Drosophila melanogaster: one gene and its partners. The protein of the gene in region 1 purifies or fractionates together with the protein of each later gene. This does not show direct contact. Each region holds a gene or a part of one and is shown in the gene's direction. Other genes may lie near its edges.

Region 1 (3,281 bases):
GAAGCCACTGATGCCCTTTAAATACTTCCAGACCAGAGAGCAGTGGAAGGTGCATCATTATATTGCCACCAACGGAAGAATCACAAAACTAACTTTTGCTCTTGACCCACACAGATCACCGACTTCTTGTTCAGCCCCATGGTCCTAATGATGGTCTTGCCTCTGCTCCTTATGCTGGTGCTGCCCAAGATGATCAACGATCCCGAGACAAAGAAGGAGATCGACAATCTGCAGTTCCCAAAGGTAAGCCGTGAGGATCATGTATAGCACAGCACTATAGTATTATATGAATCATGCTCTGCTCCACAGATGGGCAACGATATGCCCGAGATCAGCGAAATGCTGACTTCACTGCTAACGGGCAAGCAGCCCGAGCCCAAGGAGAAGAAGCCTGCTCCGGCCGTCAGGCAGGCGAAGAAGCGCAAGGACCAGTAGTAGTTGGCCACCAGATAGCTTTTAGTATTAAGCTTAATCGGAGCGCCGAGCTCCAAGTCAGAGTCAGATCGTTTAAATAGTAAATTTTCATTACAAGACTTTGCCGCTTTATTTAAGAAATCCTACTATTTGCGGTCGCTTGAGTCCGACGCGCTGCTGCTCCAGATTTAGCATTTTAGTGAGCAGCCGGTCCAGATGCTCGCCAATGGCCAGACCCAGCTCCAGACAGTTGCGCATGGTGTCCCGGTGCATGGCTCCGCCGCCGGTCAAGTGTGTACCCGAAAGGAATGCCTGTCCATTCCGCATGGAAACTGACACAACCATGCTCACTGTGCTGCAGACTTCCTCCTCCGCCGAAGGATCCACCAGGACATAATCACCGATCTTGCAAACTGTGACCAACAGCGGAACCGTCTCGATGCCGATGCGGGTGCAGTCATACGGATTGTCCGATATGATGAGGTCTGTGATGCCGGCATCCAACATGGTGGCTGTCACCCGGGGCAGCTTTGTGTTGAACAGAGCCGCTTTGGCGGCCAGCGACACTGCGTCGTGTAGATTGCCGCCACACTCCAGAATCTGCGAGAACAGGGATTAGCATTTTCGGTATAATTAAGCACACTAGAGTCTAACCAGGATGTCTATGTACAGCTTCCAGCACTGCTGACCCGGAATGAGGCACAACGTGCGGTAGTTGAAGGCCAATGGCGATTCGTAGGCGTTCTGCAGGGAGAGAATAAGTTCTTGGGCCAGATCCGAGCCCCCGCGTCCTTCAAACTCCGGCGTGGCATTAGCAGAGCTGAAATATATATGTTATGGCATATTCTTCGAACTTCAGTTGCATCATTACCAATCCACAAAAAATTCCAGTTTACCAAACTCGGGCGTCAGCGGGTTGGGTACATCAATCTCGGTTTTGACGCCCACCAGTATGTCTGTGTTCGCCAGCCGAAGGCGAGCGGATCCACTGGCATTGCTAACCAGTCCAGTTTCCAGGTCCATGGGCCGGTAATCTCGTCGTGAACGTCCATCGCAACGAAAGTCATCCTGGAAACGCATAGTTTAAGGTACAGACTATATTTCTTGCATAACCGTTTAACACACCTCCACGCCGTGTAGAATATATGTTTTTTCAGCTTCGCTCAGTGCAACGTATGCCATTTTAGACTTAATTCAAGAAAACAAATATTCAAAACAAATTCAACATGTGCAATGAACCCACATCGATACTATCGATATACCGCAAAGCAGGGCTGCTGGCACTTCGTTTTTACTTTACTGAACTGTTGTCAGTGCGAAAGGTGTATGTTTTCATTTGAAGCATTTCATTTCACATCGCCATCTGGTAACACTTATCCAAAACAAGCCAGTCATTTCGTGTTCGTGCGGCGTTTCAACAAATATCAATTGTAAATTGAATTGTAACAAATTTAAAGATCAATATGCAGCCCGACTTTGATTTCACCGACACACCGGTCAGCACTGGTGTAAGTATGAAGAGCATCAGCCACATAACTTCGTACTAAGAGCACAATCCTACCTATTTGCAGACCACCATTATGGCAGTGGAGTTCGATGGCGGAGTGGTCATTGGAGCCGATTCGCGCACCAGCTCGGGCGCCTATGTTGCCAATCGGGTCACCGACAAGCTGACCCGCATCACGGACAAAGTGTACTGCTGCCGCAGTGGCTCGGCCGCCGACACCCAGGCCATTGCCGACATTGTGGCCTACTCGCTGAACTATCACGAGAATCAGACCAACAAGGATGCTCTGGTGTTCGAGGCCGCCTCAGAGTTCCGTAATTACTGCTACAGCTACCGCGAGTCCCTGCTTGCCGGCATCATTGTGGCTGGGTGGGATGAGCAGCGCGGCGGCCAGGTGTACAGCATCCCGTTGGGCGGCATGCTGACCCGCGAGTCCTGCACCATCGGCGGATCGGGATCTAGTTTTATCTACGGATTTGTTAGGGAGCACTACCGCCCCAATATGGCGCTGGAGGATTGCGTTACATTCGTCAAGAAGGGTAGGTAATCCCAAAAAAACCAAAACAGTTTCCCTTCAATCGAATCCCATTTAAACCTCCTCCAACAGCTGTCCAGCACGCTATCTACCACGATGGCAGCTCCGGTGGTGTGGTGCGCATTGGCATCATCACCAAGGATGGCATCGAGCGACGCATCTTCTACAACACAGAATCGGGCGCATCGGCTGTTTCCAGCACTCCCAGCTTCATTTCCTCGGAATAAATAGTATACCTACCCAAGTAAGATCGATCAGAGAAAGAGTTGCAAACTCGTCTCATGCTAATAAACCTGGTTTTTGTAATATGCATACTTTAATTTGTATTTTGGCTCTTATGGCAGTACAAAAGTTAGGTCTAGGGGCTAAAATGGTAATAAATAATCGAAAACCTAAACCTAAGATGCATAGTCATACAGATAGTGCTGTTCCTGACACTGGTCCTTCCTCACAACTCAGATAACTACTGCGGCGAGAGTGGAATGTTCCCTACGGGGAAGTCATTTCATCGCCTATCACATGACAGTCAATACCGATATCCTTCGCTTAAACTCTTATCCAGTCAGGTAGTGACCAGAGATTTAGGAGTTGAGTTTGGCCACTTCAGCTGCGTCTATAGACTGCGTCTCCATGGACTTGTTGGTGGCACATCGCTGCCTGCGGTGGCGGTACAATATCTCCGGTGTCCAAACAAGAACCACCACCAGCAGAATGACTCCTTGAGCATAAAGGCAGATTAGGTAGGAGTCGGCGTAGTCTCGCACCCATCCCAGCAGCTGGCCCACTGTGATAACAATAACGCCCTTGGACATCATGCTCAGACCC
Region 2 (3,998 bases), on another chromosome or scaffold:
TCAGCACGTTCTGACCAAAAACATGGCTGCTTTTCTCAAAAAATCCGGAAAAATTTTTGTGCCCGAACAGGCCGTCTATATGAAGACTGGCAAGTTCAAGGAGACTGCTCCTACCGACGACGACTGGTTCTACACTCGCTGCGCCTCTATTATGAGACACCTGTACCTGCGCAGTCCCGCCGGCGTTGGGGCCTTCACCAAGGTCTATAGCGGGCGCAAGCGCAACGGTGTTCGTCCGTCCAAGCACTGTCGCTCATCGGATGGCTGTATTCGCAAGGTGAGTGGGAAATGGTTGTACTTTAAGGTTATATTTAATATTACTTAGCATGTATCTAACACATGAGCAGGCTCTTCAAGCCTTGGAAGCTGCTAACATGGTGGAGAGGCACCCGGATGGTGGTCGTAAGCTGACTCCGCAAGGACAACGTAACTTGGATCGCATAGCCAACAAGATTGTGGCCAAGCAGCGAGAGCGCAGTGCACCAGTTTCCATGATTATCACTACCTAAGATGATAATACCAATACCACGATGGATCATCTTTGAGTGCCTTGGGTTTTCAAAACATTCTCAATAAATCGAAACCAAAAATAAAATTAAACAATTATATACATAATAAAATAACTTAATACTTGAAATATAAACGATTCGAAACTTTATTTTTGACACAAACACGCCGAATAGCAAGAATCCAAGTTATAAAATGTTAGCTAGACCACAAATCTCCCGATTTTTGGTTGCCAGGAGCTCTGAAACCGCGAACTATGACCTCGGCCTGCCACCAACCGCTGGTTTCATTTGCTGCTTTCAAAACGTCATGCTCTTCGTTGGTCTGGCTAACGTCTTCCCCAGATTTATCCAGATTCCGCACGCCAAGATCGTGGTAAATATCCATCTCCTTGCAGCAGCGTAATTCATTCGGTGTGTTTTCACTGCAATGCAGTAGATGCAGGTGTATGTTCTTGCAGCTGCGCGGAAGTTGGCTTAATATATGCTTTGGGATTAGATTAAAGGAGTCACAATGGGATCCTTGGGGTCGATCGGAGTCTGTAAGGAGCTCCATTTCTAGAAACACGTTGGTGACTTTTAGTTCGGTGGAGAATAGCCTGTACAGCTCCTCGCAGGTGAGCAGGCGGAGCAGCGCCTGGTTGATGCGACCTTCGGGCAGAGCATGGTGCTCGCAATAGTGATCTCTGGATATGGAATCATGTGGTATGTGCAGAGTATAGGCCTCCGAGGGCATGAACATATTGTTGCCAAAAAGAAATCGCAGGCTCTTCACTTCAGAGCTCCTGAAGGCTTGTCGGATGATCTGTAGGAGAGAACTGGCAAGTAAAGACCAAAAGAAGTCCTGGATGTAAGGGGAACCTCACCTCTCTCATGTCACTAATAGATTCCTTGGTGGCCTTTGCCTTAGAGCGCTGCTGGTTGCGTTGGTAATGAGCAAAGGACTCCTGATCCTTGGATTCTCCCGATTCATCAGCATCTGACCATTTATCCACATAATATTTGTATGTTTTGTACACGAAGGGGATTTGCCGGCGTTGATAGAGCAAGAAGTCCAGGATGCCATTCACGAACTCCGCTGTTGTCCCACTGGTCAGAACCTCAATGTTATCCAGTTTAAGATCAACATTCTTGACATTTTGATCCATTAAAAGGTCGCAATATAACAAATTTAAACAAATGCTCTTTTCGCACTAATTGCAAACGTTGCCAGACTGAAACATTCAGTTTGTTTACAGTAATCGATAAGTATATAAAACAGTGACTTTTAAAATTTGCTTTTTTCAAGTCTTGAATTCATTTATATTTTGGTTGTTAATCATTACTATTGTTTTAATCCGATTGCTTAAGCATTTCTTGCCTATTTTAATTTTCACGTTTTTTTAAAATATTTGTTCACCCTTAGAGTTGCCAGACCTTCATGTTTCCATAGTACGGCAACACAGCTAACGCGAATGACTAGTAATTTTGTTGCCGACAATAAAGAGTAAAAAGTTCATCAAACGTTCGGCAAAGCAGCAAGCACCAAGACAAAATGGTAAAATAGCACCTTCAGAACACCCTGAACTCATTTACGATCGGGAACAATACATTTGCAGGGACAAAACCAATCGGCTCAAGGGGGAGCTGGCGAAAAGAAAGATGACAAGGATAAAAAGAAGAAGTACGAGCCTCCAATCCCAACGCGCGTTGGCAAGAAGAAGAGGCGCGCAAAGGGTCCAGATGCGGCCATGAAGCTGCCCCAGGTCACGCCCCACACCCGCTGCCGCCTTAAGCTGCTCAAGCTGGAGCGCATCAAGGATTACCTGATGATGGAGGACGAGTTCATCCGCAACCAGGAGCGCCTGAAGCCCCAGGACGAGAAGAACGAGGAGGAGCGCTCTAAGGTTGACGATCTGCGCGGCACCCCCATGTCCGTGGGCAACCTGGAGGAGATCATCGACGACAACCACGCCATCGTGTCCACATCGGTGGGCTCCGAGCACTATGTTAGCATCCTGTCCTTCGTGGACAAGGATCAGCTGGAACCAGGCTGCTCCGTGCTGCTCAACCACAAAGTACACGCTGTAGTCGGAGTTCTCAGCGACGACACCGATCCAATGGTCACGGTGATGAAACTGGAAAAGGCTCCGCAAGAGACTTACGCAGATATCGGTGGCTTAGACACTCAGATCCAGGAGATCAAGGAGTCTGTTGAGCTGCCACTGACCCATCCCGAGTACTACGAGGAAATGGGAATCAAGCCACCCAAGGGCGTCATCCTATATGGGCCTCCTGGTACGGGCAAGACCCTGCTAGCCAAGGCAGTGGCCAACCAGACCTCGGCCACTTTCCTGCGCGTTGTAGGCTCAGAGCTGATCCAGAAGTACCTGGGCGACGGACCCAAGCTAGTTCGTGAGCTCTTCCGTGTGGCTGAGGAGCACGCTCCATCCATTGTGTTCATCGACGAAATCGATGCAGTGGGCACAAAGCGCTACGATTCAAATTCTGGTGGCGAGCGGGAGATTCAGCGTACTATGTTGGAGTTACTGAATCAGTTGGATGGTTTCGATTCGCGCGGCGATGTCAAGGTGATCATGGCCACCAATCGTATCGAGACCCTTGACCCGGCGCTCATTCGACCCGGTCGTATTGACCGCAAGATCGAGTTCCCGCTGCCCGATGAGAAGACCAAGCGCCGCATCTTTACCATCCACACATCTCGCATGACGCTGGCCGAGGACGTGAACCTTAGCGAACTGATCATGGCAAAGGACGATCTATCCGGCGCCGACATCAAGGCCATCTGTACAGAGGCTGGCTTGATGGCGCTGCGGGAACGCCGCATGAAGGTGACCAACGAGGACTTCAAGAAGTCAAAGGAGAGCGTCTTGTACCGGAAGAAGGAGGGCACGCCCGAGGGTCTTTATTTATAAGTCGCGCGAAGATATACTTTCAAGTTAATTTTGATAATTCCCAAACACATGCATTAAACCACATTAACACTAGAATCGCTCCCCGATGTGAATAAATTCGTAGTTGCCGGGAGTTGCTGTGCCAGTTTTCCTAGGAGGTCGTCCACGTAGGTCTTTTGTTTTTCGGATATAACGTTGAGTGGAGCGCCTTGATGCTCCAAATATGTGAAGTGTGCTTTATTTGTTGCATCTGCCAGTTGGAGTTTTTGATAAGCTTCTCGTTCTGCATTCCATTCGGAGCTTTCAGCTCCCGCCGCATTGCTTATGGTTTCATAGAAGGCACTCAGTTTGGCCAGTTCGAATCCAGTTTTAAAGCCATTCTCAAAGCCTTCATCGAAGCTCTCTTGGAAGACCTTTTCCCTGCCATCGGCAACGCCATCTGCATAGCTTATCTTGATAGGGAAAGGGTATTTAGAAGTCGTGTTTACTCGGCAATGTAAAGCCAGCTGATTTCATCATGAAAGCTGGCCACGCCAAATTCATTTTAAACTTACCTTTGCCACCTTTTCCTGCACACGATGATAATTAGTCGAGCTGA
Region 3 (3,870 bases), on another chromosome or scaffold:
GAACAGCGATCCTCATTGTTCATCCAAGAGGAATCTAAAGAGGCAGAGCGCAATCAGCAGGTAGAAACAGAGGACTCTCATCTAGCCGCCAGTGAAGCAGCACTCCTGAGGCCTCGTCCGCGTCCAGGCAATCTTCGATTGCCCACTGGCTCCATTTCATCAATGAGGAACCTCGGCAACGATCAGTGGAAGGTTGTGCGGGGCAATTTCTTTATGATCTGCGGCGCGAACATAACCTGCGCCTGCGCCAGGAGTCCCAATGGCATCTCCCGTTACAGTCATCTGGGTGATGGTTGCCTGGACCTGATTCTCGTGAAAAAGACCTCACTGCTCAACAACGTGCGTTTTCTGCTCAACACGGCGGGCAGAAGTGGTGATATTGTGAGTACTAACTATTACAACTATTCAACTTTCACATCCAAAAGAACACCTTTCCTATAAGAGGCGTCCATTTCCTTTGAAATAACATTTCCATAACATTTTAACTGCATCTTTAATTGCCAAATCCCCTAAGCCTACAAGCTGAGCTTAGTGCTTTCTATCCTAAAAGCCAAAAACCCAAAACCGAACCCCATCTAGCTCGGATTGAAGCGAGGGAAATCTGTGACAGAAAGGTTATTTTACGAAGATCTACTAGCCGCTCTGGTGGCATCCATATAAAGTATATACTTGACCAGTTTCAACAATATAATGTTTTATCTAGTGAATGCGATGGTATCTTTTACTGTAAAAATATAAATGAAAAATAAAAGGATACAATTAAATTTTGTAGAAAACAATAAATATTTAAAAACATTTTCCCATTGCAGCGCAATTTGCCTTTTGTAGAGGTATATCGCACAAGGGAATTCCGGTTCAGAACTTTTTCTGCCAGCGAGGAGGACTACAGCTTGGCAGGGTCTTGTCAGCCGATTACACCGCCTGAAGAAATGACCGCCCACTCCTCCTCGACGGAGTTTTCCAGCTGGAACTGTGATGGAGAGGTGGTGACCGACCTGGACATAACCATGCGGTGAGTTGGTTGTACCTTTAACTTCAATAAATCGCTTATTAACCGTTCCGTATCTGGCAGATCGCATTGTCAGCTCATCGAGGTCTTCATGCGGGGTCCCCATTCCTACAGCAAGCCCCTCAAGGGCGGCACCACGCCCACAACCCCAGCTAGCTCTAGCGACAATGTTTACTGCTGCTGCAAGGACTAGAAGCTTTAACCCCATAGAATTAGCATCAATCGTTGGCCGTGACATGTAGCTCTTAGTTTTGCGTAGGGTATCCTTATTCGTATATGTATCGTGTTAAAGAGCGGGTCTCCCCGTCATTGTTTTTAGCATAGCTCAATAAAGCAACTGATATTATCGACTGTATTATGGCATCTGAAAGATGCGGCAGCAACCTAAACATTCCCCTCGGAAGCATTATGCACATACCTATATATTTACAAATTGTGTACTGGTATACTGGCAATAAAAATGTATTTATATGTCTTCAAATTTATAATTCTTTATTATTAATTTATATGATCAAATGTTATGATAAAAAACTTCGTTGGGTTCCCAAAAACAACAATCCGGAACATGTGCGTTTTTCCCACCAATATGAATAAAAGCAGAAGTTTTAGCAAAAGAACCTTATTCCGCTTAAAAAGCTATGGAGAATCGTGTTCGAAGGGAGAGAAGGGAGATATTGGATTTGTAGATTGACCAGGATAATTTCCAAACGTCATTTACATTTATTGCTCTCGATTCTTATACTTTAATGACCATTGAACGGCTTAAAATGAAGTAAAGCAAATGGTCATTATATATTAACTAAACATATATTTAGTTTCAAGGAGTAGTAAATACCGTAGAAGCAACGGGTATACATGAGTCTTAATCCTAATTGAGTGAAAAGTTCTTTAATTTCTTATCTTTCTTCTCCTTGATTTGTATTATCAACGAGGATTATAAAGACAAAAGTAAAAAAACAAATTCAGTATAGGCAGCGTGGTGTTAACTGTTTTACATTACTTTTAACATCAACATCTAATAAAATGTTAAAAAGTTCACAATTAAACTTCAAATTAATTTAATTTAACACATGTAAAACGGTGTGACCAAGCTAATAGTGGATTCATCTTTGGTATGTCTGGTATTTTTAGCTACCGGTTGCCGATACTGGTATTGCCGCCCGCCTAAAGTCTGTTCACACTGCGCTGACTCTTGATTTTATTTGTGCCCGTCATTCTCCGGCAGCGACAAACATTTCAAAGTCTCGCGTTATTCCAGTCTCCGAATAAATTAGCATGTTGAACAACTACAACAGCCTAGCGCAGCCCATGTGGCAGAACGGACCCGCTCCCGGCGAGTTCTACAACTTCACGGGCGGACAGACGCCGGTCCAGCAGCTACCGCGGGAGCTGACCACAATGGGACCCTATGGAACCAAGCACAGCACGTAGGAACTGCGGATATGTTTATATGCAGATGTACCACTTGTTTACACTCCTTTTACTATTCCGCAGTGCTTCCAGCACCACGGGCACTTCCGTGCTTGGCATTCGCTATGATTCAGGAGTGATGCTGGCCGCCGACACCCTGGTGTCTTACGGATCCATGGCCCGCTACCAAAACATTGAGCGCGTCTTTAAGGTCAACAAGAACATCCTGCTCGGCGGGAGCGGCGACTTCGCTGACATCCAGTCCATCAAGCGCAACATCGACCAGAAGATGATCGAGGACCAGTGCTGCGACGACAACATCGAGATGAAGCCCAAGTCCTTGGCCAGTTGGATGACCCGTGTGCTCTACAACCGTCGTTCGCGGATGAACCCCCTCTACATTGACGTGGTTGTCGGCGGCGTGGACAACGAGGGGACTCCGTACCTGGCCAACGTGGATCTCCGTGGACGATCCTACGAGGACTACGTGGTGGCCACTGGTTTTGCCCGCCATTTGGCCGTTCCGCTGGTCCGTGAGAAGAAGCCCAAGGACAGGGACTTTACCGCCGTAGAAGCTTCCGAACTGGTAAGGAATTTCGAACTCTGATGGGGGGACTCTTCATTATTTAACTACCCTACCATTTTCTTATATTCTAGATCCGCACATGCATGGAGGTGCTTTACTACCGCGATACTCGTAATATTTCCCAATACACTGTGGGCGTGTGCAGCGTCAACGGATGCGGCGTGGAGGGGCCCTTCCAAGTTAACGAAAACTGGACATTCGCCGAAACCATAAAGGGATACTAGAGCCTCCGATTCTGAATGAACTTAGTTTAGGTCTAGCTCGGCGGTTTTGCATTAAAAAAAAACACTTGTCTAAGGATATGTGGTTACATGATTTATTAAAAATAAATGTGGCTGAAAATAATACGTTTAAAGTTATGGTTATTGTGTGATAGAAACTATCTTCGAGTTATTCTTTCGTTAATCTCTACTGATGGAATCAAAAAGTAGGCGTCAAACTAAGAAGCCCAAGGGAGTTTCCAAATCTAACTTGGACTCACCATTACGGTCTTACGTTCCTTATTTTCCCAAATTATAACCATCAATTATCATTAAAAGTTTTATTTTAGTGGATTTGTTGGTTATTCCTCCCGGCATTCAACTTATTAATTAATATGCAAACACTCCTGACAAACATATTTTGGTTTATTTTAATTAACATAAAATCTGGCTAAATATACAGATAATCAATTTGATCCAAAGGGGAATTTCGCAAAGGATAACTGCTTGGAATACGTGTCTTAAGTCGCCCATGCGCCTCCTAATCTCCGCCAGCTGCAAACCGAACCCCTTGTTAGTTTAGCATGGTATGCCTGTCGTAGATGTGGCGTCTCTGCTCGCGCACCTGCCGCTTCCACTTGTCCTGCTGGTGGCCCACACGATTG
Region 4 (5,322 bases), on another chromosome or scaffold:
AAAGGGAGGACAAAGAGGATGAACAGGAGCAGGAACCGGAGCAAACAGAAGGGCGTCCCAAGTTGCGTCTACTGCCCACGGAATTCTTTGAGGCCCTACCAGCTCCCAAGCAGAACAAGCGATTAAATCTGGGAGCCACCTTGAACTCACTGCTATTTCCGGAACCCTTCTCCAGCAAGGCCACCATGGCCAAGGCTAGTCTGTCCCAAAAACCCAAGTCTGTTGAAGAGTCCGAGCCCGAGGAGGATGTGCAACCGGTGCCAAGTGCTAGAAGGCGTCACTCCAGGCTAGGTCACGTGGCCAACGACTTTTTGCAGGCCCAAAAAGAGCTTGGAAAGCATTTCCTCAGCCACATCAACGAGCATGAACACGAGTTTTCTCTAGGAGATGAGGGCATGCGGGAAAGTTCCCTGGAGTCGGCGAATGTCGGTAGGAAGTCCCTCATACAGGATCATTTTGAGGGAAAGAAGGCAACGCCTACTCTTCATTCGAAATTGCCTCAAAAGCCAGCCGATGAGGGTATCACTTCCTGGTGGGATTTACCAGCTATGAGAAGGCGGCGTGCCGTACTTAACACTAATTCCCTGGCTGAACTGCCCTCCAATGCCATAGACAAGGCAGATCGCGATGAGATGATGCCGCTGGGAAGGTACACCTACTACGAGTACAAGATGGATCACGAGGCAGAGAAGGATGCCAGCCAGCCCAGGGAGGAAAAGGAATCCAAGATCATGAGGATCAGCAGCAAGAATTCGCTGGCCTCTGGTCGTAGTCTGACTAAACTCTCCGAAAGCCTCGTGAGCACTATGAAATCAAAGGTATCTCGCTTCATCAACATCATATCCAACCATATGAACGAATGGTACAACACCTTAACCAAGCACTTGGAAACGGATGCGGAAACCCAACCACCCCGCCGACAAAACAGCATTGAGAAGTAGAATGACTTATATTACCATATGACCTTGTTTAAACTGCCAGCATTATAACCGAATGTAAATATATATTTATTTTCAAACATTACTGCATTCAAAGGAATTATATTTGAGCGATAATTCTAAGGGAATTATATTTTTCAAATAAAGCTATATACAGGACTAAGGCAACGAACTAGACGGGCTTAGACTAAGCTTGTGGTAGATTGTTGAGCATTCTTTATTGTACTTGTGAATATGTCATCTCTATAATAAAATGCATTGAATTGAAAAGAATGTTGATATATTTCAGTGGTATCTCGGTTAATGATATATGAAATGAAAAATAAAATAGATTTTTATCTGACATGTTTATACAATTACCCGTAGTACTTCAAATAGTAATAAAGTCTTGGTCATTAAAAAAGTTAATTACTATCCATTATTATTTTCTACATTATTTCAAGCTCATCATTCGAGCTGCATAACTAGAAAAGAAGCTTTGCGAAGCCCCCGACAGGTGGCTTTCTAGACACACTTTCTTGGAATCCACTACCCAGATCTTTCTCTTACCGCTGGTAACTATGTATTATAGTTTGGCTCCACTCTGTGCTCGCTCTTTCGCTGCGAGTGAACCGTTCATGAAGACGATCCCAAAGAGGAGCCCGGAAAGCCGCTTGGCTAACCTGTTACCATGGCTATAAGTGCAATAACAAAATCACCGCGACCACGGCAATACCAAACCGGTGGAGACGATCGCGCATTCTCCGCAGCCTCGGCTTTATAATCGGAATTCCGACTTCAGTCTCCGATTAGTCGTTCAAGGCGAAGGTTGTGGCACTAGCTCTTGGATCCACCAATTCCATTTCGCAGCGCAGATATAGTCCAAAGTGCAGGTCAGCAGAAGTTGGAATAAATTATAGATCAGCCAACAGCCAAAACAGGTGAGTTTGCACTAAAAAACTCGTCTCCGACTGGCAAAAGTTGAGGAACAAAACCCAAAAACGGGTCACTTCTAGACTTTTTCATACATCTATAGATCTTGTTTCTTTTCGAGACTGCATTGTAGGGCGTGGTTCGGTTGGGGGGGTTCTTAAATGGTGCATGCAAGCGTAACCAGAGCCAGTCTTCGAGTCTTGAGGAAAGCTCTTGGAAATCTTTGTGACGTGGACGGTGGGGGAAAAAAAAAACAAACAGAGAAGAAAAAACCAGAAACTCAAAACGACATGAAACTTCAGACTTTCTTTCTTGTTCAACCTTCTTTCGTTTGGGCTGTCAATGAACTTGGTTGAATGTTATTTTTTTCGGCGTTTCATCATAATAAGCCATAATTACGCACATGTGTGAAAGTGAAAGTGTAAGTTTTCTCAACAGTTTTCGAAATTGATTTATTGACAGTCACTGATAAACGATTTGAATTGTGAAAACCTTCGCCGACTAACCAATATCCCCAAAACCATGAAACCCCAAAACCCAAAACCAAACTCGTTTCGTTATGCCCTAAGACAATCGTCTGGCTTTGGCAGCTTCGGTTATTATATAATCTGATTTGCATGTTGACACCGATATATACGTATATGAAGATACAATATATAGTATACACACCTCGGCATATTTGTAGGATGGGTTTCATCTTCGGTTGGCTGTCGACCGAGCACTATGTGCGCGACATCTTCCTCATGACTTCAGTGGCCGCCATAGTGGCCACCCTGATGAGCATTCGGTTCTATCTGCGCATCACGGCGGGACGATGTTTCACCGAGGTAACGAACGCACCTCACCCAATCCAAAAAACCAAGTCCCATGCTCCCCAGAATCGCGACACGACTCGAATATTTCGCACTTTATATGGCTGTTGCTCCCACTTCCGCTGCGAATTCTTTTCAGATCTTGTAGATGAGCTGTCATATACATACAAATGATGGTGGGATAGTTTACTAAAACAGTATTCGGACACGACCTTAAGCTTATTAATCGCTCAAAACTTTTACAAATTTTATATATTCATATAAATGCGAACTATTCAGATAAACATTACAGATCCATAATTGAAAATGGTTCAGCTTACCGCTCTATAGAAAACTACATATATCACTATCTGGAAAAACCCCATATAATTAAAACGATTCTGTAGCATTCCAAGCATTCCGACTATGGAAATCTTTTAACTATATATGAAATCACCACTAGGAAAACTTAACGTGTTTCAATCTTGTTATTACATTGGTCAGTTGTGACGCGTCGACTTAATTACAGATTAAATTAGATACCTTCTGAGAGGCGAGGTACGTCACATCTCTGAGCTACGATTACCACCTGACCGAACATTGTTCGTATCCCACAAAACATCTAAGCTTCTGGGTATCTCGGTTACAATCTGTGAGATCGCTTACCTCTGATTCACAGAAAGCTCTCAGCACTCGAATGGCAATTAAGCGACCCGTTAATGGGTCTGAAAACTAAGATAGCTTCCGTTCCAGACGAACTGCGATTACTGTGACTGTGAACAAGCGCCAACTAATTAGTATTGTAAACATATTTTCGAACCGCCCTCGTCCAATTTTCGATTGCAGCGCCGTATTAAATGATTAACCTTCGACATTGATTACAGACAAAGATGGAGGGCAAGACAGTCATTATCACAGGCGCCAACAGCGGAATTGGCAAGGAGACGGCCAAGGATCTGGCTGGACGTGGAGCCCGCATCATCATGGCCTGCAGGAACCTGGAGACTGCCAATGCAGTGAAGGGTAAGTGGACCAAGACAATGCCTATGAGGTTATGCCAAGGATCTGGCAGGACATGCAACACGGTCAAATTCCGATAACTGGTCTCATCCAGTTGATTATAGACTCTGGCAAAAACTGCTTACTACCAATGATCTTTTTTTATTAAATATTTACGTTGTAATTACTTTAAAGAAAGTATCTTATAATATGTTGGCGTTGCATTAACCATGTTTTTTTTTACATAACCGAATTTTGTAATTTATTGTTGATTTCCCACAGATGAGATCGTCAAGGAGACGAAGAACAACAAGATCCTAGTCAAGAAACTGGATCTGGGCTCCCAGAAGTCCGTCCGTGAGTTCGCCGCTGACATTGTGAAGACCGAGCCCAAGATCGATGTGCTTATCCACAATGCCGGCATGGCTCTGGCCTTCCGCGGACAGACGAGTGAGGATGGCGTGGAGCTGACCATGGCCACCAATCACTATGGACCCTTCCTGCTGACGCATCTGCTCATCGATGTACTAAAGAAGAGCGCGCCGGCTCGCATAGTCATCGTAGCCTCGGAGCTGTACCGCCTGTCGTCGGTTAACCTGGCCAAGCTCAATCCCATCGGCACTTTCCCGGCTGCCTACTTATACTATGTGTCCAAGTTTGCGAACATCTACTTTGCCCGGGAGCTGGCCAAGCGGCTGGAGGGCACCAAGGTTACAGTGAATTTCCTGCATCCCGGCATGATCGACTCGGGCATTTGGCGTAACGTTCCCTTCCCCCTCAACTTGCCCATGATGGCCATCACCAAGGGATTCTTCAAGACCACCAAGGCCGGCGCCCAGACCACTATCTATTTGGCCACATCCAATGAGGTGGCCAATGTGTCTGGAAAGTACTTCATGGACTGCAAGGAGGCCACCCTTAATGCTGCTGCCCTCGATGAGGAGAAGGGTCTCAAGATCTGGGAGGAGTCCGTGAAGATTGTCAAGCTTACGCCCCAGGATCCCAAAATCTAGACGGGTGTCTGCGGCTGAGAGCCAACGCACAATTTACTGATTTACTTTTCTTGTTTTTAAGGGGGAGTTTACTGTAGCCTAAGTTTTCTCAATAAAAATGATTTTGTATAATTAAATGTGGCTCGTTTTCAATATGATATATTTGCTGTCAGAAAAAAAAGCACATCAAATTTCTGACTATATATAATATATTACAAAGATCTTGGTTGTTATATCGGTTGCTCGTGAGTAAAAGGGTATACTAGAATCAAGACTAGAATATAGTCTGGATCAAGATCAATAGCCGAGTCGATCTGGCCATGTTCCTCTGTCCGTCTGAATGTCGAGATCTCAGGAACTTTAAAAGCTAGAAGGTTGTGATGCAGCATACAGATTCTAGATACATAGACACAGCGCATTCACACTAACTGAGCAACGGGTATCTGTTAGTCGGGGAACTCGACTTCTTATTGGCACAGGATTTCGGCTTGGATTTGCAAGGGGACCGTTTTTGTATTACATGTAATATATATTGACAGTCACTCGATAAATCTTTTGCTAGGTAACTAGATATGACAATTCTGACAAGTTTTGAACTTTTCAACTTATTGCTTCTCGTTATTTATTTTGTAGCTGCAGCTTCTTAGTCAAATGATCTTTAAAAAAGTTCTTCTAGGTATTGAGATATGT

What was found.
Region 2: the proteins of Prosbeta1 (region 1) and Rpt2 purify together in Drosophila melanogaster (affinity purification with mass spectrometry, with the first as the bait; one large-scale study listed by BioGRID). This does not show direct contact.
Region 3: the proteins of Prosbeta1 (region 1) and Prosbeta7 purify together in Drosophila melanogaster (affinity purification with mass spectrometry, with the first as the bait; one large-scale study listed by BioGRID). This does not show direct contact.
Region 4: the proteins of Prosbeta1 (region 1) and CG7675 purify together in Drosophila melanogaster (affinity purification with mass spectrometry, with the first as the bait; one large-scale study listed by BioGRID). This does not show direct contact.

What each region holds. Positions count from the first base shown.
Region 1 is NT_033778.4:16,013,293-16,016,573, reverse strand, and holds Prosbeta1 (proteasome beta1 subunit), read left to right. Parts: upstream 1-1,786; 5' UTR 1,787-1,877; coding exon 1,878-1,922; intron 1,923-1,985; coding exon 1,986-2,460; intron 2,461-2,528; coding exon 2,529-2,683; 3' UTR 2,684-2,769; downstream 2,770-3,281. Other genes in the region: EMC7 (ER membrane protein complex subunit 7), read left to right, coding at 1-49, 115-243, 310-435; Rrp42, read right to left, coding at 544-1,014, 1,069-1,234, 1,286-1,482, 1,540-1,596; CG8389 (uncharacterized protein), read right to left, coding at 3,038-3,281.
Region 2 is NT_033777.3:23,929,369-23,933,366, reverse strand, and holds Rpt2 (regulatory particle triple-A ATPase 2), read left to right. Parts: upstream 1-1,808; 5' UTR 1,809-2,040; coding exon 2,041-2,043; intron 2,044-2,104; coding exon 2,105-3,421; 3' UTR 3,422-3,474; downstream 3,475-3,998. Other genes in the region: RpS19b (ribosomal protein S19b), read left to right, coding at 1-277, 348-509; CG13599 (uncharacterized protein), read right to left, coding at 706-1,311, 1,373-1,654; CG31142 (uncharacterized protein), read right to left, coding at 3,475-3,852, 3,955-3,998. UniProt on the Drosophila melanogaster protein: The 26S proteasome is involved in the ATP-dependent degradation of ubiquitinated proteins. The regulatory (or ATPase) complex confers ATP dependency and substrate specificity to the 26S complex.
Region 3 is NT_033777.3:5,356,490-5,360,359, reverse strand, and holds Prosbeta7 (proteasome beta7 subunit), read left to right. Parts: upstream 1-1,995; 5' UTR 1,996-2,284; coding exon 2,285-2,436; intron 2,437-2,503; coding exon 2,504-3,005; intron 3,006-3,076; coding exon 3,077-3,229; 3' UTR 3,230-3,348; downstream 3,349-3,870. Other genes in the region: Cerk (ceramide kinase), read left to right, coding at 1-381, 810-1,012, 1,073-1,202; CG1161 (uncharacterized protein), read right to left, coding at 3,780-3,870. UniProt on the Drosophila melanogaster protein: Non-catalytic component of the proteasome, a multicatalytic proteinase complex which is characterized by its ability to cleave peptides with Arg, Phe, Tyr, Leu, and Glu adjacent to the leaving group at neutral or slightly basic pH.
Region 4 is NT_033777.3:18,377,568-18,382,889, reverse strand, and holds CG7675 (uncharacterized protein), read left to right. Parts: upstream 1-1,711; 5' UTR 1,712-1,858; intron 1,859-2,153; exon of another isoform or gene 2,154-2,271; intron 2,272-2,535; 5' UTR 2,536-2,536; coding exon 2,537-2,677; intron 2,678-3,525; coding exon 3,526-3,664; intron 3,665-3,922; coding exon 3,923-4,653; 3' UTR 4,654-4,766; downstream 4,767-5,322. Other genes in the region: CG14309 (uncharacterized protein), read left to right, coding at 1-941.